Rattus norvegicus: one gene and its partner. The protein of the gene in region 2 purifies or fractionates together with the protein of the main gene of each other region. This does not show direct contact. Links are inferred from orthologs where the notes say so. Each region holds a gene or a part of one and is shown on either strand. Other genes may lie near its edges.

Evidence for each region.
Region 1: the proteins of Plekho2 (region 2) and Capzb purify together in Homo sapiens (affinity purification with mass spectrometry; 3 studies listed by BioGRID and IntAct, counting the BioPlex papers as one, with this or other methods). This does not show direct contact. The link is inferred for Rattus norvegicus from reciprocal best matches to the Homo sapiens genes PLEKHO2 and CAPZB.

What each region holds. Positions count from the first base shown.
Region 1 is NC_086023.1:156,780,001-156,786,131, reverse strand, and holds part of Capzb (F-actin-capping protein subunit beta), read right to left. Parts: intron 1,926-6,131; coding exon 1,804-1,925; intron 1-1,803. UniProt on the Homo sapiens protein: F-actin-capping proteins bind in a Ca(2+)-independent manner to the fast growing ends of actin filaments (barbed end) thereby blocking the exchange of subunits at these ends.
Region 2 is NC_086026.1:74,992,682-74,998,812, reverse strand, and holds part of Plekho2 (pleckstrin homology domain-containing family O member 2), read left to right. Parts: intron 1-4,391; coding exon 4,392-4,541; intron 4,542-6,131.

The DNA of each region.
Region 1 (6,131 bases), on a different chromosome or scaffold from region 2:
TCTGATGTCTGGGGAGCAGGGGTGGGGCCTAAGGGTACTCTGGAAGGACTGAAGCCCTTGAGGGAGGGGTGCACAAGCTGGAGTTCATGCTGTCCTTCCCTGCACTCCTGCACAGCAGCTTTCTTACCTGGAGCTTCAGGTTTAAAAACAAACAAAGCAGAACCAGTGGCTACTGAGTCTCAATGGTATCTTTCCCAGGAAAGCCCGAATGGAGCCAATGCCTCGTGAGGGCTTTCACTGTGGCCTGTGGCAGGCTTGCTTATCACCTTCACAGAAGTTTCCTCAAGGGCTGCCCCTGTGCACCTGCTGGGGACCTGCCTGGTGCCAGCTCTCAGACCTGCCATGCCACACCTGCCCAGTGGCCATTCCACATTCAGAGTCAGGACTTGTCCTTCTGCAGACAGCGACCATACCTCCCAGCTGTCATTCTGCTTCCAAGCTCCACCCATCTGTCCTCAGTCCCAGGCTCAGGCCCTGCCATTCCCTAACTAACCTCCACTGGAAGTAGAAGGGGCCACCACCACCGCCAGTTTTCCTTCTCTTAGTTTCAAACAAAGGATACCCCATACTTGCAGTGTGTGAGAGCATCAGCCTGGCCTTCAAGGCCCCTATTCTACAGGCCCTGCTGTGCCTCTGACCTTTCTTTTGCTGTCATAGCCTTCTGGACACCAGTGAGCTTACCTCCACCGAGGGCTGGGGACCCAGGAAGTTCCTAACTTGTGCAGACTCCACAACTCATTCTAGAGCACAGTTGTGACCAAGCCCCCACTGGCTATCCACCCTGCCTCTCTCTCTTGCTCTGTTCTCTGTAGCAATATGTTTGCAATCTGTATGACTGATGCTCGTGCCTAACATTAGTAGCCGTTTGCATTCCTCACAAAACAGACTCCAGAAAAGAGCTGTGAGCAGTACCTGCAACACAGGTAACACTCACGATGCTTCTGTATGCTGTGCTGGCTGAATGACCACTACAGTTTCTATTCTGTAGAAATGACAGAGATGACAAGGCACTGCCAAAGTCTCATTGCTCCCAGTAGGAACAGTGCTGGTTGAGAGTCCATACTGCTCTTCCTGGTCCCCTTCCCTGTTTCTCCAAAAAGAACCCTGGTAGTGTGGTCTCTAATAAGCCCAAACCCAGTGTGCTCATCCCCAGGAAGTCCTGCGGTGTTCTGGGATTCTCACACTGGGAAACTTGAAACAAATGATCCCAAGTGTGTTGGCACAGGTCTTTAATCCCAGAACCCGGGAGACAGAGGCATGAGGACTTCTATGCATTTGAGGCCAGTCTGGTCTACAAAGGGAGTTCCAGGCCAGCAAGGGATGGATATATAGTGGGACCATCTCAAAATAGATAGTTAGTCTATTAAAAACATCTAACCCAGGACCATGTCCTACACCATGTCATTCTGGAGTTGGACCACAGATTCTTCTAGGCTCCTCTAAGGCCCCCAGCCAGCTTTGAACTGACTGTCTGCATCACAGCACAGCTACTCATCAGCTACTAGACGTGTTTTCCTGGGTAGGGACCAATGTCAACTGGCCACATGGTGATGGCAAAGGAAAAGAGAAGGGAAGGAAGGAAGGACGCACCACCCTATCGGGGCAGCTGACCCTGAAACCACACGGCTCTTCCATTAGACTGTACGGCACCAAGACCTTCTTCTCTCTGATGCTCAAGGAAGGTACCCACACATGCCCGTTAGTGGGTCAGATGGACAGCTGAGAGGAGGAGAAAGAAGGACAAACAGATGTGTGGATGGGCTACCCATGCTGTGAGGTGAGCGCTACAATGTGGGAGCTCACCTATAGGAGTCCCCGTCTCTGTTGTAGTCACACAAAAGGTAGTCCTTGCCCACCACCTTGTCTCTGGCAATTTTCAGGGGCTGGTCAACAGAAGACAGGAGATCTTCACACAGACTGGGGACCTGGCAGAAAGAGAGGACATGGAGAAATGTCATTAAAATAACCCCCAATTCAGGACCAGGTTAACATCTGGCTTGTAGTGCCCTGCCAAAATTCGGAATCTGTCTGTTACTCTCCACATATGCCCAACACCAACCATGTTTCTCTATAAAGAAACCTGGCCATGAGATGTTGTGGAGCGTGACTTCCAACGCAGTCTTTCCAAAGCCGGGTGTGGCTTTAATTACCTGACCACCAGGGTGGTCTGTGAGTATGAGGATGTGTGTGCTGGGTATTGGTCTCTGGTGGACAAAATACCAGCTCAGGCTCTGAGAAGAAGGCAAACACTTCAAATACACAGGAATGTGAAGAACTCAAAGAATAACGGGGCTCTGGAGAACTCCCACAGGCTCCCATGCCGGCCGGGTGGAGTTTCCAGCTCTTTCCAGGCCTCAGGCCAAGCATTACCAGGCCGTTCCTAGCCGGCTGTGTCTGTTACAGAGGTGGATGTCCACACGCTTTCCACACAGAGCACAGTCCACTCACCTGTAGAGCGGAGGGCAAACAGCTTGGTGGCCCAGCTTGGTGGGCTGGAACAAGTCATAAGGTGCTGTCAATCAATTCCTACCACAGCCTTTGGGGGAGCAGACCAGGGCTGCCTCCTCCCAACACAAACATTGGTCTCCAGGAGGGGATCCTGGCAGAGTGGATGCTTTTCTGTTCGAGTCATTTCTACACTGTCTCCGCGTCCTGACTTTCTCATCTCAGAGCCTCATCATTTACCAGAAGAGGGGCTGCTAACAGAGGGGGCCATGCAGCTCAGATCACGTGTCCCTCCCAAAGGCCAGCACTACTAGGACAACCAGGCTCTGACGCTGCATGCTACCATCCACATCACAGTCCAGTGTACAAAGTGCTACCTGGCACTGAAGCACCTCTTGCTCCATGGGATGGTCCAACTCTTACACATACATCGGTCCCCAAGGAGAAGCATACACCTCCAGCCCAAGCATGGTGTGCTTGTCTTCAGAACCTGGTCCACATGCACCTGTGCACTCACCCAACCAACAGGCAAGGTCATTTCCAAAGTTAGCTTTGGCGACACCCCTCTCTGTTACCTCTAAATGCCTGTGGGACGTGAAGCCAGGTATCACAAAGTATGCTCTTGGCCTAAACGCTCAGACTAGGGCATGAAGTGGGTAACCAAGGACTTCTAGATTACAGAGCTGAGACCGAGTCATTAAAGCTGCCCAAGACTCACATCAACAGTCAGCAGGGAATACAGAAATCCAATCCTGGGCTAGGTGACTCCCAAGCTCCTTCAGCCTGTCACTCTGGTCCCTAAGGACAGTGAGCAGCAATGGTACCAAGCTCCTCCCAGCCCCCACTGCAGCTCAGTTATAGCTAGGTCCTCCACCTGGGACACCCTAGCTGGGTCTGAGGCACTTGCTGTATTTTTTTGGCCCAGTGAAATGACTCTGGCAGCTGTGTGCTACCCTTCGTGCTGTAGCCTGCCACCAAGGATCCATTCGAGCCACTGGGCTGCTACTGGGGTCTTCATGCAGTTGTCAAGTCCTCTTTGTGTGGACTCTATTGGCTGTCTGCTAATACTGGGTAGCAGTTCCAGCCCTCTGTACCTCAGTGCACCTTGCTGCTTCTGATGGCAGATGCTGAGGGATGCTTGGGAAGACAGAGCTCCTTCGCCAGCCAAGCTGGCAAGACAATGGGAGCTGCCAGGAGAGGCTCCATTTCTAGCTGGCACGGTTATGTACACTGGTAATCCTAGAAGCTTAGGAGGCTGAGAGAAGACAAAGATTTGAGTCCATGAGTTCCACATCACTGTGACCAGGCCTGGTGGCACAGTTCTGTAAGCCTAAATACTTGGAAGGCTGAGGCAGGAGGATCCTAAGACCAAAGACTGGCTGGGTTGTAGAGTGAGTTTCAAGCATACTCGAATACTTAAGACCTTGAGTTAAGAGGAACTAGACATCTGGGAAGATGATTTAGTGGTAGAGTGCTTGCCTGCTGTGCATGAGGTCCTCAGTTCAATTCTCAGAGTCTCAAGTAAGCAGCAAAAGGAACAAATAACCTCACACCACACTGAAGCCCAAGCCCAGCCTTCCACGGCAACGACAGGAAGACAGAACCAGGCAAACCACGGAGACGAGGCACCCTGAAGGGCTGACCCTGGACTGTGCAAGCCCACAAGTCCCTAGCAACCACAGAAGAACACACACTCAACTGAGCCCCACCGTGGCAGCACACCGTGGAAAGCTACAGAGATCTTGCAGGACACAGGATGTGCCTGAGAGCACACAAGTACCTAGGATGGGTCACGGCTGGCTGGCTCTGACTGCTCAGGTCCCTGAAAGACACGTTCTGAATGTGGGCCATACTTTTAAGTTCTGTTTGCATCAGTTCCTCTTCTGATCAAAGACAATCTGGTCTGGAGTAAGGACACTATGCTTGTCACTGGAAACAAGTACAGACTATACAGTATGGCAGCTGCCCCAGACGCTTGTGCGTGAGTGCGTGTGTGCGTGTGTGCATGTGTGTGTGTGTGCATGTGTGTGTGTGTGTCTGTGTACCATGTGTCAGTCCTGCTCTGTGTGTGTGTGTGTACCATGTATCAGTCCTGCTGTTTGTGTGTGTGTGTGTGTGTATACACACCATGTGTCAGTCCTGCCCCCCATCCTGCCCACCCTCCACCTTCCCAACACTGGCCTACTAGCTGTCTCTTCAACATGCTAGTTTGTATAAAAACCCTCCCCACTGAGAGTTGGTGGTACAGAAACTGTAGGCTGCTGAGTTAAATGTGAATTTCAGATTCACAAGGAAGACCATTCCAGTCTGACCATGCCTCGAATATTAATTACACAGGACAGCTCTTTATTTGTTCAATCTAAAACTCCACCACGTTTCCGATGTCTCCTTCAGCCCCACCCCAGACTCCCATTTCTCCCCAGGAGTCCCATGGACGGATGGCACAAGGACTGTGACTGCTCCTGAGCTGGCTATCCTAACACCACCAGCAGGGCCTATTCTTCCCTGCCTGTGTCCATCTCCCGGGTCAACGCTGTGCCCAGGGAGTCATGAGGGGACCCCCTAGGCAAGCACCATGTCCTGTCGGCTGCAGAGGGCTCTCAATCTAAGCTTGGGTCCCAGGGGAGTAGGCATAGGGTCTTTGCCTGAGCGCATACCAGAGAAAAGAGGCTGCTCAGGTCTGAGAGCCAATCAATCACTCCTGCCCCTGGCTGTGTCACTCTTCAGGGTGTCAGAATCCTGAGTTTGCAGCAATAAATGAGCGGAATGACCAGGTCCAGCCACCCAAGTCTACTTTGTGCATTTGGCTGCTCTCCGCACTGCCACAGGACCTACCCGCCATCATTAGCTTCTGTATAGAACGTCCATCTAACACCAACGGTGCTGGCTAAATCAGGCTGCTGAGGCTTCAAGTTAATTTCCAGTGACTTGGAATAGTAACGCTATACCACTGCTGGGACAGGCCCTGCCTTCACTCTGGACAGAGAGCTCAGAGGGAAGCCACTAGCCAAGCGGCAGGAACTACTATTCTCACCTGGGTTTGGGTTCAGTCCAAGCACAGCAAAGAAAGCTTTAACAAGAGACAGGACAGTGGCACATACCTGTAGTCAAACTAACCCAGGGGCTGAGACAGAAGGATCACATGACTCAATGATTGAGTTCAGGATCCACAGAGGCAACATAGAAAAACCAGACAACAGTGATGATAAACCATTAAAAAGACGACTGTCTTTCACTGTGGGATCCAGTCTATTAACTCCATCACCAAGGACTGTCTGTCACCGTGGGATCCAGTCTATTACCTCCATCACCAAGGACTGTCTGTCACCATGGGATCCAGTCTACTACTCATCACCAGGACTGGTTTTTTTCCTTTAAAACTACACTCACTCACTCACTCACTCACTCACTCACTCACTCACTCTTTGAGGAAGGTGCCCATGCCATAGCGTAGATATAGAGGTCAGAGGTCACTTGTGAGCGTTGGTTCTCTCCTTCCACTACATGGAACCTGGGAATCGAACTCAGGTCCTCAGCTTGGTGGCAATGCTTTTACCCACTGTGCCATCCTGCTGGCCTACAGACCCTTACTTTAAAGAGGCACACAGGGCCTAAGAAACAAGCTGCCCCAAGCCATACAGGCCAGTAGCCAGTGCCTAAGGAAGGGCACAGGGACACAGTTCAGC
Region 2 (6,131 bases):
CTTAATTATGGTCACTTATCTGCCCTTGACCTCAGGCTACCTCATCTCCCTTTCACGTAATTGTCTTCAGCCTTCCTCCTTTGCACTTCCTGGATGCCAGCCACCCCGGGGCCAGCCTCCCTTAGCCTCTGTATAGGATGTAGGATGGTGGTCCCTGTCGGGCTTTGAGAAGAGCTAGTTTGGGTTCGAGCATCTGCCTATCTGTGTTTTCTGATCCTCATTTTCCAGTTCTAAAATGAGAAGGGGAATCTAGAAATTTGATAATGTGTATACAAAAGTTCTGAAAACCAAACACATCAATGGAGGTGTTACTGCTGCCTGTGGAGTAAGGTTGGAAACCTTAGCTCTGCCTCATTGCCCTCTCAAAGCCATGCCTTTCCTTGACTAGACTGCCTACTGTCCTCCTCACCTTTACTGAGACAGGCACGGCAGTGGGCTAAATTCTTGTTCTTTCTGTTGTGCCTTTTCTTTCTGTAGTAAAGGAGTTAAGAATGTGAAGTCTTTTTTTTTTTTATTTTTTTATATGCATGGGTGTTTTGCCTGTATCCGTGTCTGTGAACCACTTGCCTGTGGAGACTAGAAGAGGGCATCAAATAGCCTGGAACTGGAGTTAACCATGTTTGTGAGCTGCTGTGTAGGTGCCAGAAATTGAACCCAGGTCCTCTGGAAGAGTAGCTAGTGCGCCTAAATCTGAGCCAGCTCTCATGGGAATAGGAAGTCTTTGGTCTGTTTTTGCCTTTAGTTCTCCACAAACACCTACCTTCCTAAAGAGCTTCTTCACCAACCCCAGGCCCTTGCCCCAGCAGAAAGCTAGGATGAGGGAATTCTTCAGGGTCAGAACCATGAACTTCCCAACAGACAAGAGCCCCCTCAAGTGGGGAATAGCCACCTAGCCCTCTGAAGCTTCTCACAGGCAGACTTTGTTCTTTCTGTCTTCATTAGCCTGGAAGATCCCTTGAGGCAGGACCTGAATTATTTCTTCTCTCTGTATTTTTTTTTTTTTTTATCTGAGATCAAGTCTCACTATATAGTCCAGGCTGGTGGCCTAGTACTCCCCATATAGACCACACTGGCCTTGAACTCAGAGAGTTGGCTTCTGTTGGCTTCTGTCTGTTGTAACTCTGTTGTAGCTTTTCATCTAATCATTTCCTACACAAGGTCAGCATGACCTGTCTCCTTTCCCCCTTGCTTTTTAAAAGAACAGCCCCGAGACACTCCTGTGTCAGGCCTACAGAGCCAGGCTGATGCCATTGGGTACTTCAGGAGCTGCTTGCCCTGAGGTAGGCTGGAGAAGGCTCGCTGAGGATGACTGGGAGGGGAACAGAAACAGTGGTCAGCTGGTCAATAAGAAGAGAGGAGCTGGAGAAACTGGGCTGAGCAAGACAAAACCTCCCCTGTGAACCCTGCCAAGGGGAGGGGTGCCTTGTTAAAACTTACTGGGGTGTAGCCAGACCCCTGGTGGGAGGAGGTCTAAGGGGTGGAGGCTGAGTTGGGTGGAGGAGAGTGGAGGCAAGGAGGACGCTGGCGTTTAGCCAGGCCTCCCATAGGATAGCTAGGTCTTGCTTTCCATCTTCTGCAGTGCCCTCCTGCCCAGTCCCTTCCTGGTTCCACCCATCCATGCAGACCTTAGACTAGCTTCCCTAGCTTCACTAGGCCCTGTGGTGCATTCCTAGAGTTTGAAGGTGACAGCAATCAAGGCCTATGTCCCAGCTGTGGCCCCTAGAGCTTCCAGCTGATGTAATGTTTTGCATGTCAGGCAGTGGAAGTGGCAGGTAGGGGAGATCTTAGGGATATGAGGTCCTTTTAAAACTACGGGGTGGGGGGTTGGACTCCTTGGAATCAGAAGAGGAACTTGGAGCTTAGAGGTGGGAACCGTGAGCAGCAGCTTTGTTCAGGAGACCTGAGAACTGAGGGCTTAGGAGGTGACCAGCCGTGCTGGCATTGCTGGTGTTGCTGGTAGAAGTGTTTGTGTATGGGCATAAAGGCTCCTATTCCATAGTTTTCCCCTTCCAGTCCTGGACCCTGTGATAGCCTGCCCGGGTTGCTGAGAGATTAGGTTCCTGGGCATCTCATAGCCTCTGGGAGCCTAGCACATCCCTATCTCTAGGGAGAGGCAATTGGGTCTATGACTAAATGAGAGAACTACCGTGTTCCTGTCAAAGAGCCCTGAAGTCCCTTCCCTCTTCCCCTGGTAGGGTAGCTCTAACTGTCCTGCATCCTCACTTCCTCATTCCTGCATCCAGGAAGGTCATTTGGAACCAGCCCACTTCCCCATTTCTCTCGTCATCCACAAGTTAGAGCGAAGATTAGAAGAGACATTCCACGTTCCTGGAGATCTGAGGCCAGCAGCTCTAGCTCGGCTGCTCTCCATCTAAACTGAGAACCGCCAGATCTGGAGAGAAGGTCCCTGAGACTCCAAGGAGGGCGGGCAGTAACAGGCAGTGACAGCAGTAACAGGAGTGACAGCTGCCAATTACCAAGCTCAAGGTATCCTAGGAACTGCTCACACGCCTTGTCCTCATTTAGTAACAAGCATGGATCAAGTCCTTGCCGGTGTGCCAGGCACAGTCTAGGCCGTGGGACAGCAGTTCACAACAAAACCCCCCACCCTCAGGGAGCCCTATATATACTTGATTGTAGTCAAAAGGCAGAGAAGCAAGATGGATCCCTATTCCTTACAGGAACTGTTAGCATCTCCATCACCCAGTGAGCAAACTGAGACATAGAAAGAGGTGATGTCATTTGCCTCCGGCTCCAAAGCCTATGGTCCCAGTGAAGCAGAATGTGTTCCAGGAGACAGAAAGGCCACAGCAAGAAGCGGGCTGGATTATTACTGCCATGACAGAAGAGCCAGGCCCTGCCCAGCTCCTGACAGATCACCACACTTACGTCTGCCTGGGCTTGTCCTTCCAAAGACATCTGTGGCCACAGGGTATCTCTGGGGAGAGGCGTGCCTCTTAACTGGGGCCCCTTTTTGGAGCTCTATGTAAATTATAACGTAGCTGAAATTAGTCAGTGTTGATTTCCTCCTCATGTCTTCTAGATTCTGATGCTGTCTTGATCCTTTCTCCACCACCCTCTTCCCTCTCAGTGCCCCAGTACCTGTAAGTTTGGCATGGTGGTTAGCAAATAGGGCATATTTAAATTTTCGTTTGTACACAGATGTCCTCAGCTCTCATTAGGTATTAGAGAAGAAGGTTAAGTGCTTAGTACTCAGGTGAATCTGACCCCATCTCATAGGCATGCAGACATGTATACCCTACACCCAGCCACCTGAGCAGGTCATGGATGGGGCATGAGATGTGAGTGACAGGCCCTGAGACTGCAATGCAGCCCCCTTGTACAGAATGGTTTGAACTCAATTCCTATACCAGCCTGTGATGGAAGAGACCGTTCTCCGAGCACTCAACAGAGGAAGTAGCCACTCCACAGCATGGGGATGAGATCTGAGGAGTCCCCACTTCAGGAGAGGGAGCTGGATTGGGTTTTCAGGGAAGTCTAGGGTCGGGGGCGGGAGGGTAGGGAATCCTGTTGTTGCCTTACAGCCTGCCTGGTTTCTCCTATCCTCACAGGCCTTGCTTAAACATTCTCTATTCCGGGAGGTCTTTCTTGGCCACCGAACCACAGACCAGGTTCCTAGTGTCCTCTTACACACCAGTGCCTGCTTGTGTCCTTTTCTTAATTTTTTTGATTGCACTTATGTGCATGGAGGGGTACAAGCATGTGTGTACATGTGCGTATAGGGAAATCAGAAGACAGGTTATGGGAGTTTGTTTTCTTTGTCCACCATGTTTGTCCATCGAACTCAGATCGTTAGGTTTGGTGGCAAGGACCATTTCTGGATGAGGTACACTTCTGTCCCTTCTTCATAGCTTTTGCAGTAGTTAATGTGTGCATTTCTGGGTATTTACCCATTTAGCTGCCCTGTCTTTCCCGATGTGTACTCTATGAGGGTAGGTTGCGTCGCTTTTGTTCTCCTGTGACATGTGACATCACTTGGGCTCAATTCATTTGTTAACCGGTTTAATAAACACCGGGAGGCACAGGAGTGGGAAGAAAATGGGTTCAGAGAGACCTGCTTTGAATTTTGGTTCTGTCTTTCTAGCAGCGTGACATCTTTTTTTTTTTTTCTCGAGTTTCAGTTTACTGTGACTTGTGGCTTTAATAGCGATTGTAAAAGTTAAGAGAAACCATGAGTGAAATACAGTACAGTGGCTCAGTGTAAGGGGGAGGTTGCTACTGTTACTGTTCTGTTTTTTAAATACCTGCTTTGAAGGTTCCTGGGGAAATGTCACGTAGGCTGCCGCACTAGATGCATTCCCCATATGGTCTGCGGACCGTTTGGCTTCATGGCGACAGCCCTCACGATACGTTCTGGTGCTGTCTTACAGAGTATAAAGGAGGGGACCGAGAAACCTCGTGGAGCACGGACTGCAGACAAGGCTGGCTGGATCAAGAAGAGCAGTGGGGGGCTTCTGAGTTTGTGGAAAGACCGCTACTTGCTTCTCTGCCAAGCCCAGCTGCTGGTCTACGAGAATGAGGTGAGGACTTGCTTGGCTCTGAGAGCAGCAGTCAAGTGAGGCAGGCGGGCCAGCAGGAGCCCCTAAGACTGGGGCTGGAAGGCTCGCTCACCGTTGTTGTTTGTTTATTTGGTTGCTTGTGTGTTTGTTTTAAACAGGGTCTAACTATGGGTAGCCTTGGCTAACCTGGAACTTGCTCTGCAGACTAGGCTGACTGGCTACAAAACAGAGACTCACCTGCCTCTGTTTCCTGAGTGCTAGAATTAAAGGCGTGCACTACCACACTGGCCCCCACTTCACTGGCATGCTGTGCCACCCTGGGCAAGTGTCTCATCTCCTCTGGTCTCTATGTGTAGTAGTGGGGATGATACTTCTAGGGGCAAAGTTAGGGTTCCTGGGTAAGGGTTCTGTGCCAGCCATGTATAGCATTTGAGTCTCCTCAACTACTTACCTGTGTACTGGAACTTCCTGTTTTGGGCCAAGGTTTCATAGATGAAGTATGTGAGCAAACTGAAAGTGTTCCAATCAGCATTGGCACTAAACATACCAACTAACCCTCACAGAGACCCACTTGCTTCTGTCTCCTGAGTGCCAAGACTGAAGGTGTACACCACCATGATGGGGCCTATGTTACATTTTAAAGAAAGGATTGGTAAGGGTTGGGGGCAGGGAGGTGGGGATGGTGGTAGTGACTTCACCTTCTCACAGAGAGTGGAGGGCTTGATCTAGAGGTAAGCCCAATACTCTTTCCACCAAGAGACAGCAGCGAGTAAACTTCAAATTTTACTTTTGGTTGAAAAATTTTAAATGTTAATTACATAATGGGAGTGGTAATGCTCACCTTTAATCCCAGTACTTGCAGAGGCAGGAGGATATCTGTGATCAGAGTTTTTTATCCGACTTTGGAATTGCCAGAGTGCCTTCAGCTTTTCCCTTTTAATAAACAAGTGTTATTAAACACTTGTTTGTGCAAGAGTTCGTCTGTGAGTGCTCGTATGTGCCAAGGCACGTGTGTGGAGGTTGGAAGACAGCCTTGGGTATCAGTCCTCACCCTCTCCTTGTTTGGGGCAGGCTGTCTCTCTGTGTACTCGAGGCTGGCTGGACCACGAGCCTCCTGGGGGCTTTCCCATCTCGCTTCCCATCTCACAGTAGAAATGCTGGGTTTACGTGACCCTGTATCCTGCTTTCTATGTGGGTTCTGGGGCTGTGGACTCAGCATGTCAGGCAGTGTAGCCTGTGCTTTTCCTCGTCAAGCCGTCACCCCAGCCCCAGTCAACACTTCTGCTGTCCCCATGCCTCCCACAATCCTCACACCTTCCCACTTAGATTCTCGCCCCCCCTCCCACTTTCAACAGACTTTGGACAACTAAGAACAGTAAAATTGCCAATTTTACACCTATAATCCCAACACTCAGAAGGCTAAGACAGGAGGATTGCTCTGAGTTGGAGCCCAATCTTGACTATAGTGTAAGACCTGGTCTCAAAAACAAAAAACAAAAAACAAAAACAAAAACAAAAAAAGCTAAAATTGTTAGTTTAGGAAGCATCAGAAATGCTGAAGACTTGGAGGGAGGGTGGCTTTTCCTCTTGGTACTGGGGTTCAGGCTGCCA